Caenorhabditis elegans: one gene and its partners. The protein of the gene in region 3 interacts with the protein of the main gene of each other region in a pairwise test. Each region holds a gene or a part of one and is shown on either strand. Other genes may lie near its edges.

The links.
Region 1: the proteins of lrx-1 (region 3) and col-122 interact in a two-hybrid assay, tested with the Caenorhabditis elegans proteins (one large-scale study listed by BioGRID).
Region 2: the proteins of lrx-1 (region 3) and pfd-3 interact in a two-hybrid assay, tested with the Caenorhabditis elegans proteins (one large-scale study listed by BioGRID).
Region 4: the proteins of lrx-1 (region 3) and eef-1G interact in a two-hybrid assay, tested with the Caenorhabditis elegans proteins (one large-scale study listed by BioGRID).

The regions. Positions count from the first base shown.
Region 1 is NC_003282.8:9,561,705-9,564,989, forward strand, and holds col-122 (Nematode cuticle collagen N-terminal domain-containing protein), read left to right. Parts: upstream 1-1,674; 5' UTR 1,675-1,683; coding exon 1,684-1,704; intron 1,705-1,810; coding exon 1,811-2,692; 3' UTR 2,693-2,737; downstream 2,738-3,285. Other genes in the region: lron-14 (eLRR (extracellular Leucine-Rich Repeat) ONly), read right to left, coding at 404-499, 657-830, 1,144-1,218, 1,264-1,374, 2,833-2,940, 3,231-3,285.
Region 2 is NC_003279.8:12,726,175-12,730,414, reverse strand, and holds pfd-3 (putative prefoldin subunit 3), read right to left. Parts: upstream 2,279-4,240; 5' UTR 2,161-2,278; coding exon 2,104-2,160; intron 1,827-2,103; coding exon 1,557-1,826; intron 970-1,556; coding exon 739-969; 3' UTR 517-738; downstream 1-516. Other genes in the region: trm-61A (tRNA (adenine(58)-N(1))-methyltransferase catalytic subunit TRMT61A), read left to right, coding at 1-43, 220-325. UniProt on the Caenorhabditis elegans protein: Binds specifically to cytosolic chaperonin (c-CPN) and transfers target proteins to it. Binds to nascent polypeptide chain and promotes folding in an environment in which there are many competing pathways for nonnative proteins.
Region 3 is NC_003283.11:12,250,818-12,256,010, forward strand, and holds lrx-1 (LRP X(cross)-hybridizing), read left to right. Parts: upstream 1-1,867; 5' UTR 1,868-1,960; coding exon 1,961-2,047; intron 2,048-2,544; coding exon 2,545-2,649; intron 2,650-2,731; coding exon 2,732-3,016; intron 3,017-3,198; coding exon 3,199-3,328; intron 3,329-3,528; coding exon 3,529-3,654; intron 3,655-3,701; coding exon 3,702-3,836; intron 3,837-3,882; coding exon 3,883-3,999; intron 4,000-4,455; coding exon 4,456-4,577; 3' UTR 4,578-4,633; downstream 4,634-5,193. Other genes in the region: rad-50 (Zinc-hook domain-containing protein), read left to right, coding at 1-34, 78-242; T04H1.5 (G patch domain-containing protein 11), read left to right, coding at 530-704, 755-1,310, 1,394-1,532; T04H1.12 (Activin_recp domain-containing protein), read left to right, coding at 4,826-5,012.
Region 4 is NC_003283.11:10,963,886-10,968,449, reverse strand, and holds eef-1G (putative elongation factor 1-gamma), read right to left. Parts: upstream 2,732-4,564; 5' UTR 2,626-2,731; coding exon 2,617-2,625; intron 2,476-2,616; coding exon 2,353-2,475; coding exon of another isoform or gene 2,331-2,352; intron 2,286-2,330; coding exon 1,965-2,285; intron 1,921-1,964; coding exon 1,788-1,920; intron 1,753-1,787; exon of another isoform or gene 1,535-1,752; intron 1,462-1,534; coding exon 986-1,461; intron 961-985; exon of another isoform or gene 834-960; intron 795-833; coding exon 660-794; 3' UTR 528-659; downstream 1-527. Other genes in the region: dbd-16 (DB domain-containing protein), read left to right, coding at 26-265, 306-479; ctf-4 (WDHD1/CFT4 second beta-propeller domain-containing protein), read left to right, coding at 2,911-2,994, 3,041-3,552, 3,603-3,836, 3,885-3,996, 4,042-4,225, 4,270-4,564. UniProt on the Caenorhabditis elegans protein: Probably plays a role in anchoring the complex to other cellular components.

The DNA of each region.
Region 1 (3,285 bases), on a different chromosome or scaffold from region 3:
TTCAAATGAAAAGTTTGCTTTTAGTAATCCCATTCTCAGTAAGAAAACAATTAAGATAAAAACTAATGTATAATAATTTTAGTTTATTACTGGCAAAAACCAATTGCCTTCAATAATTCGAAATAATGACGATCAGCTCAAAACTTGAGCATGGCACGTTCACTTTTAACTTTTTCGAAAAAGTAATAAAAATGTCCCTCACCATGAATGTATTATTGACAAAGCTTCAATATTTTTAAATTTAACATTAGGAGAAACAAAATTCAACATTACACATTTGAGTGCATAACAATTTGGCGATCAGGAATAAATTTCAAAATTTACTACTATATTTGTAAAACTTATGAAACAGAAATTAATTTTTAAACTTTTTTGCTCTGAAACTATGTGACTATGTTCTTACTTTTGCTCGATTAATTCTTCTCATCAACCATCTCTGAAAATCCGATGGTGACTCACAATCACAGGCAAATCTGCTGAAATTCCCACCCAATCGAATCTGAATTTCTCTTTTATTATTATCAACCAAACTGAAATGGAAAGTTTCGTTTTGTAACCCAATGATTCCACCAAAAAATGACTGTTTTGTCTTATCATGATGGAACATAGATAAACTGGTTTCTGGTCAAATGTCCTTTCCTTTTGAAGTGACTAACCTTTTTTAAACCATCCAAATGATTTAAGGATGTTGATGAAAGTTGATCCAATGGGTTATCAGATAAGTAGAGATGAGTTAAAGATGGTAATTTTGTAATGGTTTCTGGAATTGAGGTGATGGCAGAAGATGTTATTTCGAGATGGGTCAAATTGGCAAGATCAGTGAGCTTTTCCTGAAATAATTTTTTTGTGGACATTATTTGCGAAATATGGAAATTGATTAGAATTTAACTAAATTAGATGATGCTCTAAATTAGGTGAAATTTTCGGACAACACAATGACAGCAGGATTAAAATTTCAAATATCATACTGCATAAGTAGGCATGTCGAAACAGTAAAAAATTGTTTACATAAATACATCCAATTGCATAAAATAATTGAAAAATACATAGTTCTATATTTGAAAAACCTTAGGAACACAAAACCAGTTAGTTAAGTTTCCCTCAATTTTCAAAATTAACCTCCGGATTCAAAAAATAACTCACCATTTCCACTGAAGTCATTTTGCTATTTGTGATCTTCAAAGCTCGCAAGTTGCTCAGTTCTTTCAATTTCTCGGTCTAAAAGTCTTGATGTCTAATGAATTCTTCCAAAGAAAAAAAAACCTCAAAAATCTTCCAATCAGTCTGATTCATATGTAATTGTGTCAATGGGGATGGAAATTTTCCGAGCTTATCCCATCGAAGTTTGTCGCAAACCATAATGTTTTGAGATGTCTGAAATAATGTTCCGGGTTAACCAAAAAAGTTTCAAATTAGTTCCGTTTCTCTTCTATTGTGCCTTATCATCCAAGAAAAAACCAATTGGAAAGTGTAAAGTTAGCGAAACCGCGCGGGCGTACCTGACAACAAAGATAGATCCATAGTGATAGGATGAGTGATAATGGGAAATGTGGAGACATAGATTTGGTAACACAAAATGAAAAAAAAAATGAAAAAAGGAAACAGTGATCAAGAGAAAATTGTCAGTATAAAAGGAATGGGTTTAACATGGAAAGGCATCATCCAATCTTGATCATCTCAAAAATGGAGGACAACAAAATCAAGGTATTCACAAATTGTTTGGTTTAGTTTAAAGTTCTAAGAGGCTTTAGAATTTAATTTTAAAAACCATTCATGACTCTTATTTTTCGAAAATTATACAATTTTTCAGGCCTACCGTCTCATCGGGTATGCCGCAGTCTCCCTCTCAGCTGTCGGAATTCTTTCCGTTTGCATTACTCTTCCACTCGTTTATTCTTATGTGAGCAACCTCCGCTCTCAAATGCACTCTGAGCTCCGTCACTGCCGTGACACCGTTAACACGGTATATGCTACCGCTGTCGCTATGCCAGCTCTTCCCGGGAGAGGGAACCGTACCGCGCGTCAAGCTGGATACGATGTTGCCGTTCAAGACGCCCCAGCCCAGGAGCACAATAGCTGCGACGGATGCTGCTTGCCAGGAGCCGCTGGATCAGTCGGAGCTGCCGGACGCCCAGGAACTCCAGGACGCCCAGGTGCACCAGGAGCCCCAGGACACCCAGGAAAGCCACCACAGTCACCATGTGAACCATTAACCCCACCACCATGCCCAGCTTGCCCACCAGGGCCACCAGGAGCTCCAGGAGCACCAGGAAAGCCAGGATCCGAGGGACCACCAGGACCACCAGGGCACGATGGACCAAATGGAGGACCAGGACAACCAGGACAACCAGGACCACACGGACCAAACGGACACCCAGGAAAGCCAGGATCCCAAGGACCACCAGGACCACCAGGACACTCCGACGAGCCAAAGCCAGGACAACCAGGACAGCCAGGACGTGCTGGACCACGTGGACCACGTGGAGTTGCTGGAATCAAGGGCAAGGATGGAGCTCCAGGATCCCCAGGACAACCAGGACCACGTGGAGGACCAGGAGAGCCAGGACAAGATGGAGCTCCAGGACAACCAGGACTTCCAGGATCCGATGGAACTCCAGGAGAGAAGGGAATCTGTCCAAAATACTGTGCTATCGATGGAGGAGTCTTCTTCGAGGACGGATCCAGACGCTAGATTTTATTTCGTCTCTCCCATTTTTCATAAAGAGTTTAGCATTCCAATATTGTTTTTTTAGTTCGAAAATACACAAAATGAGTTTTTCAAAAAGCTAGAATTGATGAAATATCTAATTTCCCAGTTTCCAAAAATCATACCCTCACAATAGAGACATCCGCAGATCTCAAGCATTTGCACGTCGGCGGGCATTCGAAACGACATTCACATTCTTTTTTCTGACAACATTCACAATCTGCTTCACACATCTGAAAAAAATTACTGTTTCAAAGTTACTATGTATTTGAAATTTTTTTTAGCCTACCTTGAAACCTTTTTTAATTATCAGTTCAATTTTCTCGATTAATTTTTTGAAGAAAATGTTTGATAGCATAATTAAAGTCTGTTGGGTATATAATTACTGTTGTTTGATATCAGGCTTTTTCTCAGCACGGTTTTATTAAACTATACATCTTAGTCTCTTTTAAATCGAATTATATTGGTAGTACGCCACCAATTGTTTTTTCAATTAAAATGAAACATTTATAAAATAACTTACATTAGAATATTTGCAGAGCAGTTGATTCCTTGAATGAGCTAACGTGAGCAGCATT
Region 2 (4,240 bases), on a different chromosome or scaffold from region 3:
AGGAACGGAAGAGAAATGTCGATGGAACAATCGTTGAGCAAAGGTTTGGGCATTTTCCATTGATTTCTGGCTGCTGAGATGTTGATTTTCGAGCTCAGGACCCTTGGTTTACCCTAAAAAAATTGAAAAAGAACCAATAAAAATATTTCGACCACAGTGGGGACTCGAACCCCGGAGTGAAAATCCAGGCCATCGAGCTAAAATTGTGCAAATTTTCAGCAGCTCCGCCATTCCACGTATCACAATTGCAATCGTCTATCCATATTCTCAGCCAACACACACTGGGTACCTGACTCATGCCACGATGCTCCCGGTCGCCGAATAATTTATTTTTTTAATTTGATTGTTGATTTTTTAAATTTTTGTTGCTGTTAAATTTTTTGAATTTTTGAATTTCGTGAGAAAAATTGCAAATTTCAAGCTAAAAACGGGAAAAAATCACGATTTTTGGAGAAAATCTTTTGAAAAATAGTGAAAAATATCCAATTTTAGTCAAATAATATGGGAAAATCGATTTTTGTTTTCAAAATTTCTGCACTTTTTTGGATTTTTGAATTTTATGAAAAATTGGCGAAAAATTATAGCAAAATTTAAAAGCAAATCGGGGGGATGTGGCGGGACAAAAATACGGAAAATTCAACAAAAATTCAGCAGAAACAATCAAAAAATGGGATTTTAAAGGGGATTTCAAGAGATTTTTCGGGCGAAAAACGGGGAAAATTGTGTAATTTTGATCAATTATTTCGCTCCATTATTGACAGCGAGAGCGGCACGACGTTTATTAACTCCAAAATTGACAATATGGGACATGTTGACTTCGGTTGTGGTGATTTGATCCTTAATATATGACAATTCGTTTGTCAGCTCGTCGACCACTTTTTGAACGGAGCCACGGTTTTTGTCGAGCAGTTTTCGAGCATTTTCAAGGTCATATTCGACCATTACGTTGGCTCCAAGCCAGATTGATACCTGGAAATTTCGGGAATTTTAGAGGGTTTTTCTGAAAATTGAATTATTGAGCCATTTTTAGGGCTGAAAATCAGAATTTTTAATGTTTTTCCGGGAAAAATTGCTAAAAAATTATAATTCTGGGTTTTTGGGAGGAAATTGCTTTTTAAAATACGAAATTTTGAGTTTTTTCGATAAAAATTGCCGAAAATTGCTGAAAGTTGGTTTTTTGAAGTTTTTCGCATCAAAAATTGATTTTTTTTTTGAAAAATAGCTAGAAAAAAATATTGTGAAGTTTCCCTGTGCAAGTTGACTAAAAATTCTAAAATTCAGCCTTTTTTAATGCTGAAATTGGCTTAAAATGAGGATTTTTAGGTATTTTCTTGGGAAAAAAAAAATTAAAGTCAAAAATTCAAATTTTTGCGGTTTTCAAGTGCCAATTTCCTTAAAAATGGGGTTTTCTGGCATTTTTGTGTTAAAATTGGTTGAAAAATCACATTTTTTGTGAATTTTCGAGGAAAAAATTGTGGGAACTTGATTTTAGGCGATTTTTCCTTGAAAATATCGATTTCCAGCTATTTTTCTTGAATTTTCAGCGTTTTTTCTACCTTCTCGGGCTTCTGAACAGTGGCTTTTGTGTAGACATCATCGGAGAGCAGGAAAGTCGTCTCGAACGACTCATCGGCGGCTCTTTTCGCGATTAATGTGTCGATAATGCTCAAACTGTTCTCGAATTCCGGGATTTTTTCGCTCATTCGTACTTTTTGAGCGAGCATCGATGATTCGACGTATTTGTACTTTCCGTATTTCTCACGGAGCACAACTTCGGCTTCCTCGATCGAAAGCTTCTCCTTTGTGAGCCATGACTCGACGTCTTCCTGAAAAAAAATGGGGTTCAGAGAGGAATTTGTGAATTTTCTAATATTTTTTAAAGATTTTTCACTAAAATTCCAGAAAATTTCCATAACAAACTCCAATTTTTGTTTGAAAAATAGGATTTGACATTTTTTTCCCGAATTTTTCAGTTTTGAGGGAAAACTTAGTTTTTTGAGGAAATTCTTGAGACTTCTTCCAAAATTCAATGGAAAATACTGGTTTACTGGATTTTTTCTCGAGTTTTTAGAGATTTTCAATTTTTTAAATTTTCCGACTTACAATGAGCTCGCTTTTTGGGATTCCACGTGCTGATAGACTGTCCGCTGTGTCCGACATGATTTTTCAATGAAAATTTGCGAAAAAACGCAAAAAATTCGAGGAAAATCGGTAAAAATTGAGCGTAGAAATTCCGGGGAAAAAGAAAATTCCAGTTGACGCGTTTTTCGATCCCAGTAAGTGCGCCAGCACTCGCCTTGGCGCGTTTCTCGACGAGAACCAGCGAGAGAGTGCGGGGAGACATTGAGACGCAGAGATTTTTAATGGAAAATCGCAGGAAGTAGCTGAAAATCCCTGAAAATTCAATTTTTTTTCTAAAAAAAAGATAAATTTCAAATTAAAAATATCATTAACCAAACTCTGCGTCCATCACACAAATCGGTTGCGGTGGAAAAAAACGAAATCGGATACGGTGGATGAGCGGAAGCTTCAAGTGGCCCGCGGGAAAGCTTTTGAGCTTTTGAGCACATCTTTGTGAAGTTTCTATCCGCCAAAGCCACTACAAAGACTGTATCGATGGGTATTGTGTGCAGATTTCCGGAAACCGAGCCGTATCTTTTCCAAAATTCTCATTTTTTCGCCAATTTTCTGTCGTTTAGGATGGAGATTTTTGCTTTTGTACGTTTTTTTGTGGAATATTTGAAAATTTTCTAAAATTGCTTTTATTTCTCAAAAAAGAAACTTTAAAAATCAGGTCTAAAACCCTTAAAAATGTGATTTTTCTTATATGGCCTAGAATTTCAAAAGTTAGGCCATGAATAAAATTTTCAGCATTACTCAATTCAGAGTTCTCCCCGCTGAGAACTTTCAAAAAGTATAATCAAGCCATACTTTGAAATTTTCAAAAAAAAACCCTTATGCGCCTTTAATTTTTTTTCGCAGCGAGACCCAAAACATGTCAATATGGGTGTCATTTCAAAGCTCTCAACGAGCTTAATATGATTTTGATATTCATTCTGAGAATAACCCAAGTTTTCGAAAAAATAGTTTAATATCCAAAAAAAGTATTTTCAGCTGCTATTAGAAACTTCCGGGGGTAAATGACGAGTAACTCCACCCTTCTCACTTAAATATTCCGCCTGGTGCCGGATGGCTGCCGAAATACGTCAAACTTCTATTTTAGCCCCCCGTTGCTGCTCCGTTTTTGCTGAAATTGAGCTGGAATTTCGTAGTTACTAATTTTTCGGTTCTTTAGAAAATTTCCAGTTCTCAGAGCTATTTTAGGCCAGAAAATTTTCAATAAATCATTTTTTCCAACGTGTGTGACAGGTGATGTGATTAGAAAATTTTTAGTTTTTAATCTGAAATTTTTTTTACTCCAAAAAGGTTTTTTTCAATCAATCAAATCCGAAACAATTTGAAAAACGTACTATTTTTTTGTTTTTTCCCGAAAGTTAAATTTTTTTTAATAAAAAACGTTTCGAGGACTAGCTTTCATATTTTTAAATCTAAGATTTGGCTGAACTAGGCCATTTTATCTCGGCCACGGCCGGTGTCGATTTACGACGCGTAGGGGTTCGCTTTTAATATACAACTATTTTTTGTCCTTCTGTTTCTGAAAAAAATACATCAAAATTGGAGAGCATGGTTCTGGAAATTGTCGGAGTAGGTCTCAACGCGAAAAAGGTTTAAAGGTACATAGGTATTGCGAAATATTTCGAAATTTCGAATTGGCGTGAAAGTAGCCGCTGACCTATTATCAATACTTTTGCAAAGAAGTTCAACGGCGCATAGAGTTTTCGCAAGTTGAGTTGAATAGGAATTCAGTGTTTTTTCGATTAAAAAAATCATGGCCTAACTTCAGATTTGTAGGCCACTAAGCCTTACCGCCCCTGTAACCAAACGGACACATGGTGCCAGGCTGTCCCATTACGGTTTGATCTACAAAAAATGCGGGATTTTTTTGCAAAAAAAATGTGACGTCAGCACGTTCTTAATCATGCGAAATCAGTTGAGAACTTTGCGTCTCTTCTCCCGCGTTTTTTGTAAATCTACGTAGATCAAGCCGATATGGGACACTCTGACACCATGTGTATGGATTCTCCCGGAAGATCAGAATCCCCATTAGATGCAGACTTCCAAGCTCTCGGAGCACAAAAAAATCCCAACTAAAAGTACTTTATTCCATAAAAACACAAAA
Region 3 (5,193 bases):
TGAAAATGGAAAGTTGAGAGGAAGAGATATGCAGGTATGGGATAATGAGCTATCAAAACTAATAATCAAACTTATAGATGGTAGTAATCACTCACGATGAGCGACTCGTCAACAGGATCACAATCAGTTGTCGTCCAGAGTATATTTATTGTTTGGGGAAGGACGAGCACGGAATAAGTTTCCTTTCGAAACGTTATCCAGATGGAACAGTGAAAAGAGTTAATACGAAGAGACGGTTCTAGAATGGTATTGAAGAATCTCAATAGTACAAATAATATTTTACGGTCTCAAAATTGATTCGCTCACCTTTTAATTATGTTTTATGCTTTGTCAGATCATTCCCGAGTTTCCAAATGTTGTTACCTCATGTTTTATATTTTACGAGATGAACCCGATGCATCGGCCGATGTGAAATGAAAAATATTTTCTAACTGTTTCAATATTCTAATGCGTTTTTTGCTACGCTTTTGTTTCTTTCTTCTTGTTAAAAGCTAACCTTATTCATAAAAAATTTCGATTCAAGATCAGAATGTCTGACGATGAGGATGACTACATGTCTGCTGAAATTCTCCAAGGAGTTAGTGAACAACCAGTTGGAATTGCAAAATCTAGAGCTCACAAGCGAGAACTACAAATAAATTCAAGATTTGAAGAGTCCAGAGACACGTTTAAACCAAAAAGGCCAACTAGTCATGCTGAGCGAGGTTTGTAAATCGTAGTATATTATTTTTGTAGTTTACCAAATAAATTTCAGAAAAAGAACGTCGCGACGAGGCGCTCGCAAAACCGATTAGCCACGAATCGAAAGGATTTGCATTGATGGCAAAAATGGGATTCAAACCTGGTATGACATTGGGAAAGCAAAGAGAAGACGAAATTCGAATTACGGAACCAATTGGTGTCGATATCAAGGCTAATAGGAAGGGACTTGGGCACGAGGTTGAAGCAGTTCAAGAACGCAATGAACGAGTTGAGGCTGTAATGCAAAAAATGAAAGAACAAGCGGCAAAGCATGAAGAGCTGATCGATGACTATTCCAAACGGCGGAAGCTTGATGCCAACTCAAAGCAATTAGTCAAAGACATCAGATCTTGTCGAAAGGTGTGCGAAGAGTTGGATCATCGAATTGGAAAAAAAGTTCCCAGTGTTTCGTGGTTTTGGAGAAGTTATAAAGTTGCTCAAGAGGAAACTACATCTTACCATAAAAAAGTTGAAAAAGAAGATGAAGAATATAAGTACTCAAATGGTTTAGCAGCTCCAGAAGATCCGAATTATGATTTCACAATGTCAACGGAAATTTTAGAAGAAGCGTAAGTTTTTGTTTTGTAGATAAGGTTTCAATGAGCGTTATTTATCCAAACCGACAATAGTATTAAATATGCGTTTATTTCAGACTTTCCACTATCAACAATTATCTTCGAGATGGTCACTTCTATTGTATTTGGTGCGGAGCCAACTTTTCCTCGCCAGAAGATATGATCGAACATTGTCCTGGGAGCACTCGTCGAGCACATCATGGAGAAGATGAATAGATTAATTATTTTCATAAAATCTCAATTCTTGATGTATATACTATGAATCCTTTTTTATAACCAAGTTCGTGTCCTAACATCGTGTCACTTTTTTTTTTTGCTTTTTTGCTTCATTATTGTCTGCTCCTGTGTTGTTTCTCAAGGTGGGAACGTATCAAGTGACAAGTGACCACTAGTCAGTCAGCTTGAAGTGGCGATCAGTTGCCGCGCACCACCAGTAGCCCCCAACAGCGCGAAAAGCTTCTTTAGCGATAGAAAAGAACACAAACAATTGAAAAAGAAGAAAGTCCAGTGCACACACGACACTTGTGCTTCTTCAGCTACAGTCTTCAGTGGGCAGCAACATCAAGTTCCACCATCTTTATCATCTGCTCATCCATTCTCTCGATCTGTTCCGGTAAATTTGATTGCCAATCATTTTGCAAATCATGGCATGGTTAACGTCCATATTTTTCATTCTTCTAGCCGTTCAACCGGTTCTTCCACAGGATCTATATGGCACAGCAACTCAGCAGGTACAGTGAACTGTTCAAAAATTTGTAGCATTTGTTCTTATTTCTCTTTCTCAAAGTTTCTAATGCTTAGGGTCTCACCACGACCAAGATATTGTTCAAATGAAGGGCTCGCCAAGGGATTTGCACCTATAAGGAGTACTGTAGTTCAAGTTCAAGTTTTTTTTTCAATTTTTCCTCGTTCGTTCCGATTTTAATGCTTTATTTCTAACTATTTGTTTCGTATTTACATATAAATCGGTATGAGCTACAAGGAAAATATTTATGTAAAATCGAAAAAATTGTGAAATGAGTCGCACTACAGTACTATTTAAAATCACCGTATTTAAAATATTTCTGTCGTATCGAGACCTAATTTTGACAAAAAATCGCACAAAAAATCATTATGGTTTTAGGCAACATAAAGATTCCAATTGGATTCACAGACGATTTAAAAACTTAATTTTGAAAAAAATCAAAACAATCGTTTTTCTTTAGTGAATTGTATAAATATTTTCCAGCAGCCTTATCCATATGTACAACCTAGTGCTTCGTCTGGTTCTGGAGGCTACGTTCCAAATCCTCAATCAAGCATTCATACTGTTCAGCAGCCATATCCAAATATTGTAAGTTATAAAGGCTTGGGCCAGGGCCGAGGATAGGTCTATATTTGTTTACATTACCAGAATATCAAGAAACAATATTTAGGATGTAGTCGAACCAGATGTGGATAGTGTAGACATTTATGAAACTGAAGAACCTCAATTTAAAGTTGTGAACCCTGTATTTCCACTTGGTGGATCTGGAATCGTTGAACCTGGTACAATCCCACCACCAATGCCTCAAACTCAAGCTCCAGAAAAACCAGACAACAGCTATGCAATTAACTATTGTGATAAACGAGAATTCCCAGATGATGTACTAGCACAATATGGATTAGAAAGGATTGATTATTTTGTATACAACACTTCATGCTCTCATGTTTTCTTCCAGGTAATTTTTTGGAAATTATTTTTCTGAAATACAGAAATAGTTGAACAAATGTATAATTTAAAGTATTGAAACTTATCTTTATTGTATGCACGAAATAAGCTATTTTTATTTGTATGCTATCAATATTTATATTTCTACAGTCAATAGATTTCTGAAATTCCGAACTTCTTTCATATTTTCAGTGTTCAATTGGCCAGACTTTTCCTCTGGCGTGTATGTCCGAAGATCAAGCATTTGATAAGTCTACTGAAAATTGTAATCACAAGAATGCTATTAAATTCTGTCCAGAATACGATCATGTCATGCACTGTAGTAAGTCATTCAATTAAGAGTATGTATAAAATTTCATATGGCGTTGATGCACCATGAGGTGCGCTTGAAAGTTTGTAAATCTGCAATTTTCTGATTTTGATTTTATGGAAACTTAATTATTTCATCGATTTTTTCTCGAAATCTATAAAATATATTTATTTACAAAAAGCTCCAATATAAAATAGTGTTTGATATTGCAGCAATCAAAGACACCTGTACTGAAAATGAGTTTGCTTGTTGTGCAATGCCTCAATCCTGTATCCATGTGAGCAAACGTTGTGATGGTCACCCAGACTGTGCCGATGGGGAAGATGAGAACAATTGTCGTAAGTTACTCATTACAACAATTGCCAATTAAATTGAAAACCTTTAGCATCGTGTGCACGTGATGAGTTTGCATGTGTGAAGAGTGAACATTGTATTCCTGCAAACAAAAGATGTGACGGTGTGGCTGATGATTGTGAAGATGGATCGAATCTTGATGAAATTGGATGCAGTAAAAATACAAGTAATTTTTACTTTTTAAAATGTACTTTATAACAAAGTAATTAAAGCTTGTATTGGAAAGTTCGTCTGTGGAACATCGCGTGGAGGTGTTTCATGTGTGGATTTAGATATGCATTGTGATGGAAAGAAAGATTGTTTAAATGGAGAAGATGAAATGAATTGTAGTAAGTTTTTTTCTGCCTCCCTTCTTCTCACCCGGAAAACACCTCTGGAAAGTTATAAGTGGCGAAATAATGTACAGTACTTCCTCTAATAATATCGCATCCTACTATTTCACTTTAAAAGGTTATACCTCGGTTCAATTTAAAGATATTGAACATATTTTTCAATAAATAATTGACTGCAAACGATAGAAAAAAGTTTTCAAAAAATTGTCAAATGACAATTTTTAAATAGGAGAAAAGACAACTGAGATATTTAATTGTCAAAGTCTAACATTGGGAGTGCAACATTAATAGAAATACATACAATTTGGAATGTCTTTCTTAACTATAACCACACATTTTGGCACAACTTCAATGTGCGAACTTTTTCTTGTTCGAGACAAAAACATAGGAAAAAAAGTATTTTTAGCCAAGTGTCCAAATAAACACTGACGAATACTACACTTGTTATTTCAGAACAAGAAGGACGCCAAAAATATTTGCTCTGCGAGAATCAAAAACAATCAGTGACACGTCTACAATGGTGTAATGGAGAAACAGATTGTGCTGATGGATCTGATGAAAAATATTGTTACTAGATACTGCTGAACTTCTTGTCGATTTCCCTTAATTTATAAATAAATACATGAATGTCATTGCTTCTTGAAATATTCTTTCAAATTATTTGACAAAACGATTAGTTTCGCTTTGAAAATTTGACGGAAAAGAGGTCGAAAAGGGTGGGGACTGGTTATTTTTCAAGGTTTACTGTTTCTCTTTTTCTCTTCTTTTTGTTACTCTTACCCCTTTTCAACTTTGACACCGAAAGTCAACCAGTGTTAGACTCATGAGTATTTCCGTATATTCTGTTACTATTTTCACACTTTTGACATTACTTCCGTTAATATGTATATCACTGGAGTGCATCAACTCAACATCATACATGGACAGAGTTCTCGTCAAACCAATGAGCTCACATTGTCGTTTGAATAATGCACTTTGTGTGAAGACAATGCAAATTAGTCAGAATTCTGGTATGCACATATTTTTTGAAGTTGGAACTTTTAATATTGATCATTTCGTATTGACCGTCTCCGACTCAATATTTTTTGTTCCAACATTGATTAACTACCATTAACTGTCATTAAGTTCTGGTCCAAAAAATTGAATCAGAAGTTGGCAGAAGTTTGAACAAAGTTGAGCTAAAATTTTTAA
Region 4 (4,564 bases), 1.3 Mb from region 3:
AATTTCAATAATATCTAAATAACAGACACCGGATGAGCACTTTGCCACCTGCTGCTCACTTCTCGAAGTTGAATCATCTTGCACAGATTTATGCTCATATTCTACGTACTCATCAGAAGAAGTCAGTGCAGTGTTTCTTCAACAATCAGTGTGCCCAGTGACTGCAATTCAAAAGATTCATTTTTGTGCGGCACGAGGAACAAACCACACGGAATGCTGCTCCAAATCATTAGTTCCAATACACTGTCACTCTTTCTGCGATCAGGTTTGAGAGACATTTTACTGACACGCAATGATTTTTACAGAGTCAAGATAGTGATGTCAATAGCCTCTCAATCAACCATTTGCAATGTGTACAATATTTCAACGACATCAAATCTTGCTTTTTGGAACACGCAAATCAAGAATATTTCGAAGGACACATCGAGGACTATACGACGACCGAAAACGAAGAAACAAGCTTAGGAGCTAATTTTTAAATCTAAAATTATTTAGGAACACTTATAGACGAATAAATTCAATCTCAACTTGAAGAAGATATAATTTATTGAAGTGATACCGGGTCCTTTATAAACAATAGAAAACAATTTATTCTTTCCGACTCAGAGTAAACAACAGGATTAAATGGCAAATACACCGGGTTGTATGGAAACTCCAGTTTACTTGAAAATCTTTCCTTGGTTGAACTTCTTTCCTCCGAAGTCTCCCTCCCACATAAGATACTCGTTGACTTCCTTCTTGGTGGCATCGGACTTGGCGTCAAGCTTTGTCCAGGTGTACGATTCGTAATCAACCTGAAATATATTATTGTGAAAACTATCGAGAATTCATAAAATTGTTGCTTTCAGTTTAGAGGTAATTGCTCATTAAATAAACAACTCCAACGAGAAGAAGCACTTATATACGAAAAGTGTAACTCTGTATAAGTGTATCACGTATACAAATGACTACTCTTCGACATTCAAAATCGAGGAAATGGTCCTACCTGCCAGTCTGGGCTGAGTTCGAAGGCGAGCTTGTCACCCTTCCACACCCAGATTCCTGAGATGGTCGAATTGTTGTCGGTTCCGAAAAGAATCATGGAGGCGAAAGCATTCTTCTTCAACTTCTCCAGTCTTTGGTACATTCCATTGATAAGGTTACAGCTCATGAAGGCGAGAGTGAGATCTTCTGGGTATTTGTACTCGCACTTCCAGATGGACCAGTTGTCAGCATCGAAGTTCTCCCAGAAGTGTGGGATAGCCTTGGTAGCGGTGTCTTCGTTGGAATAAGATCTCTTGAAATTGTCAAGAACGAATGTTCCCTTTGGCATATCTTGGAATGGATCCTTGCTCTTCTCCTCCTTTGGTTCATCGTCCTCTGGCTGGGCAGCCGCAGCAGCTGGCTTGGCCTCTTTCTTTGGCTTCTCGGCCTTTGGAGCAGACTTGGCGACTTTAGCGCTGAGCTCAGTGAACTTGGCTTCTGTAAAATAAGAATAAAATTTAAACTGGGAATACAAAATCAGAAGTTTTTTTATAAAATTAGATTTCTTTTTAAATGTGTGGGACATAAACTAAGGTAACTTAGAATTGACTGCAGGACAACCCTGTAAACGACCAGTGCTAAATTTCCAACTCTCAGTCCCATGAAAAACGTTCCGAACAAAGCAAAAACAAAAACTGTTTCAAGCAAAGACGGTGTACATAAATCTTGATATTCCACCACTGTAACGCCTACTAATCGATTGACTAGTCTGCTGACTTCGCAGTGGAACAAAACAAATTCACACTAACAAAAAAGAAACTTACGGTTGAATTGAGCAACCGATGAGGCAAGGGAAACTTCTCCAAGAACCTCCTTAACAGCTGGCTGGTTAACAACGGTTCTGAACCAACGGGTGACGTTGACGATGGACTTTCTAGCGTTGGCATCAAGAACATACTGAAAATTAGGAGTGTATACATATAATCTGGGTCATAGTGTACTTGGAAAGCTGGGAGAAGATCAAGAGCAACGGAAACGTCGGCAAGAGAAAGACGTTCTCCAACCAAGTAGGTCTTTTTAACAAGAACACGATCGAGTACTTGGAGTTGTCCGTTGAGTTCATTCTTGTATTGTTCAACAGTCTTCTTGTCAAAGTTGGCTGCAGACACAGATGGAAGAACGTATCCGAGAACAGCTGGAAGAAGATAACCTTCTGCGAATTGAAGCCATTGGACAGTCTCGGCGTTAGCTGAGGTTCCAGTCAGGTGAAGTCCGATCGACTCAGCTCCGAAGAGAAGAGCATCTCCTTCAAATGCTGGGGTCTGAAATTCTGCACATTGATAGTTCACAGATCGTCAAATACTGACATCTAAATAAATTAAAACGTACAACTCCAAGTGGGAACTTGTCAGCTGGAGCAGCATCTCCGGCGAGGGTGACAGTCTTGTTGGCGAGCTTGGCAGCAATCAAAACCTTTTGGGTTCTGAAGTTGTCCTTGTTTCCATACAGTTTCTGCAAAATAAAAATCAATAATTGGTTAAATTTCGTCATTTCAAGGTTTGGCCTAATCATTTTTCAATGCAACGAACGGAAATCACGTTAACTATTCTTAACAGCACTGCAAATTTAATGAAATTAATTTTATAAACTTACTCCGGTCATGATGTCACCAACGAGTCGGAGAATCTAGTGAAGCGACGCTCAAAGAAGAGGCGCTTGAAAAGAGTGGTGTTCTTCAGAGGAAAAATACACTGAAAAGTCTGCGTATGTGCCCCTGGCAGAATGCCAGTACGCAAAACATAGGGGTTCTACGCAGTTCACTGGTCCATGGTTGCATTACACTTTTTTACCGCATTTCGGCGCCAAGAATCAGGTTTAAAATTTGCTCGCATTTTATTTATTTTTGATGAAAATAAATAATTTCACTCGTAATTCCATTGTTTTCAGATGAGCTTTACTAACGTTAAAAATTTGGAGAATATCGGCCTTCAAACTATCTGCATTGATGCTTCAGGAGAAGATACTGAAAATGTAGGATTTAAAACGATTTATAAACATATTTACCTGTTTTTTTCAGATTTACGTTTGTGATGCTGAACGAAATGTACTCAAGATCAATAAGAACGTGTTGCTGCAAGATGAAAAACCTGAAATAATCGAGATTCCCGATGCGACAACATCATCTATTGCTTGGTATGGAGAAAACATCTGTTTTGGTTACCGCAAGGTGGATTTCATTGTTGGATCCGAGCAGCAAATGGTGGGACGGGCGAAAAAGGGCAATTTCGAAGCAGGAGATATTATTGATCCTCTTGAATTCCAAATGGATGTCACAACGGTCGACGCAAACAGGGAAAATGTTATTGGAGGATCTAGCGATTATGCGGTTAAATGCACGAATATGAAAGATTTAGATGCAGAGCTGAAAACGAGAAGTCTTGAAGCTGAAGTTCTTTGTGTCAAACTGGATCCAAAAAATGAATTTGTGGCCGTTTCTACTGTGGATGGCAATGTGACTATTATAGACATTGATTCATTCTCGATTAAACACACACTGACCAAGGTTTTCCCAAGATTTGAAACAATTGAGTTAGTGTTTCATGTTATACTTCGGTTTTAAACAATGTCCTGTTTTTCAGTGTTTCACGACCTCGTATTCAACTCTCATGGTCAAAGGATGGTCAATGGCTGTTTGTTCCTTCAAAAGGATGTGTGAAATCGTACCGTCGAAATGGGTGGGAAGAATCTGGTGTATACCGTTTGAAAGATCATGCTTCTGTGGATTTTTCGGTTACTGCGCTTTCGCCGTGTGGGAAGTATCTTGCCTCCTCAACCATGGATAATCAAATTGCTGTTTGGAATAGTGATGAATTGTAAATTTAGGTAAATGTGTGAACTGATAAATAATACATTTTTTCCAGAGATATTGTGTGTTGTGAAAAATTCGTGAGAAATGCACCTGGTATCACTATCATCACTTCTATTGTTTTTTCTCCATTCTCCCCAAAAAAATTGATTGTCGCTGATTCAAATGTGAGTTTTTCCCTTTTCGAGCACTTTCAAGTAACAATATTTTAGAGAGGAATCTGTTTGTTTAATGTCTTCAAAGATGATTCATCTAACGAGAAGCCTGTTTCAAACAAAACTGAAGATGTTGCAGTTGATAGTGATGATGACGACTCAATCCTTTTGAATAGAACTTCACTCAAAAAAGATAGTTTATTCAATGAAGAAGCCATTGAAGAAGATGAAGATACCCGAAGTGAGGGATTGTAAATATAATTTCTCTTGATGTTTTAATTTTAGTGTCTTCCGATCTTGGAGCTATCAAACGACAATTCAATTATGGGAACCAAGATCTTGGAGGGCTTGAAGAATTCGGTTTTAAACTCGGTGAACCTGAGGAAATGCGACCGATGAGCTCGGACAGAAATTTGAATGATCCTCTCCCGCAAGTCTATTCTGATCCACCTGCTCCCCGAAAAGTTCTTATTCCTGAACGATTTGTATCTAACAGCTCTCCAATGGATCTCGACGCAACACAAAGGTTTCTGAAGTATAATCGATTCGGAATTATTCGCAGCTACGTTAACGAGGCAAA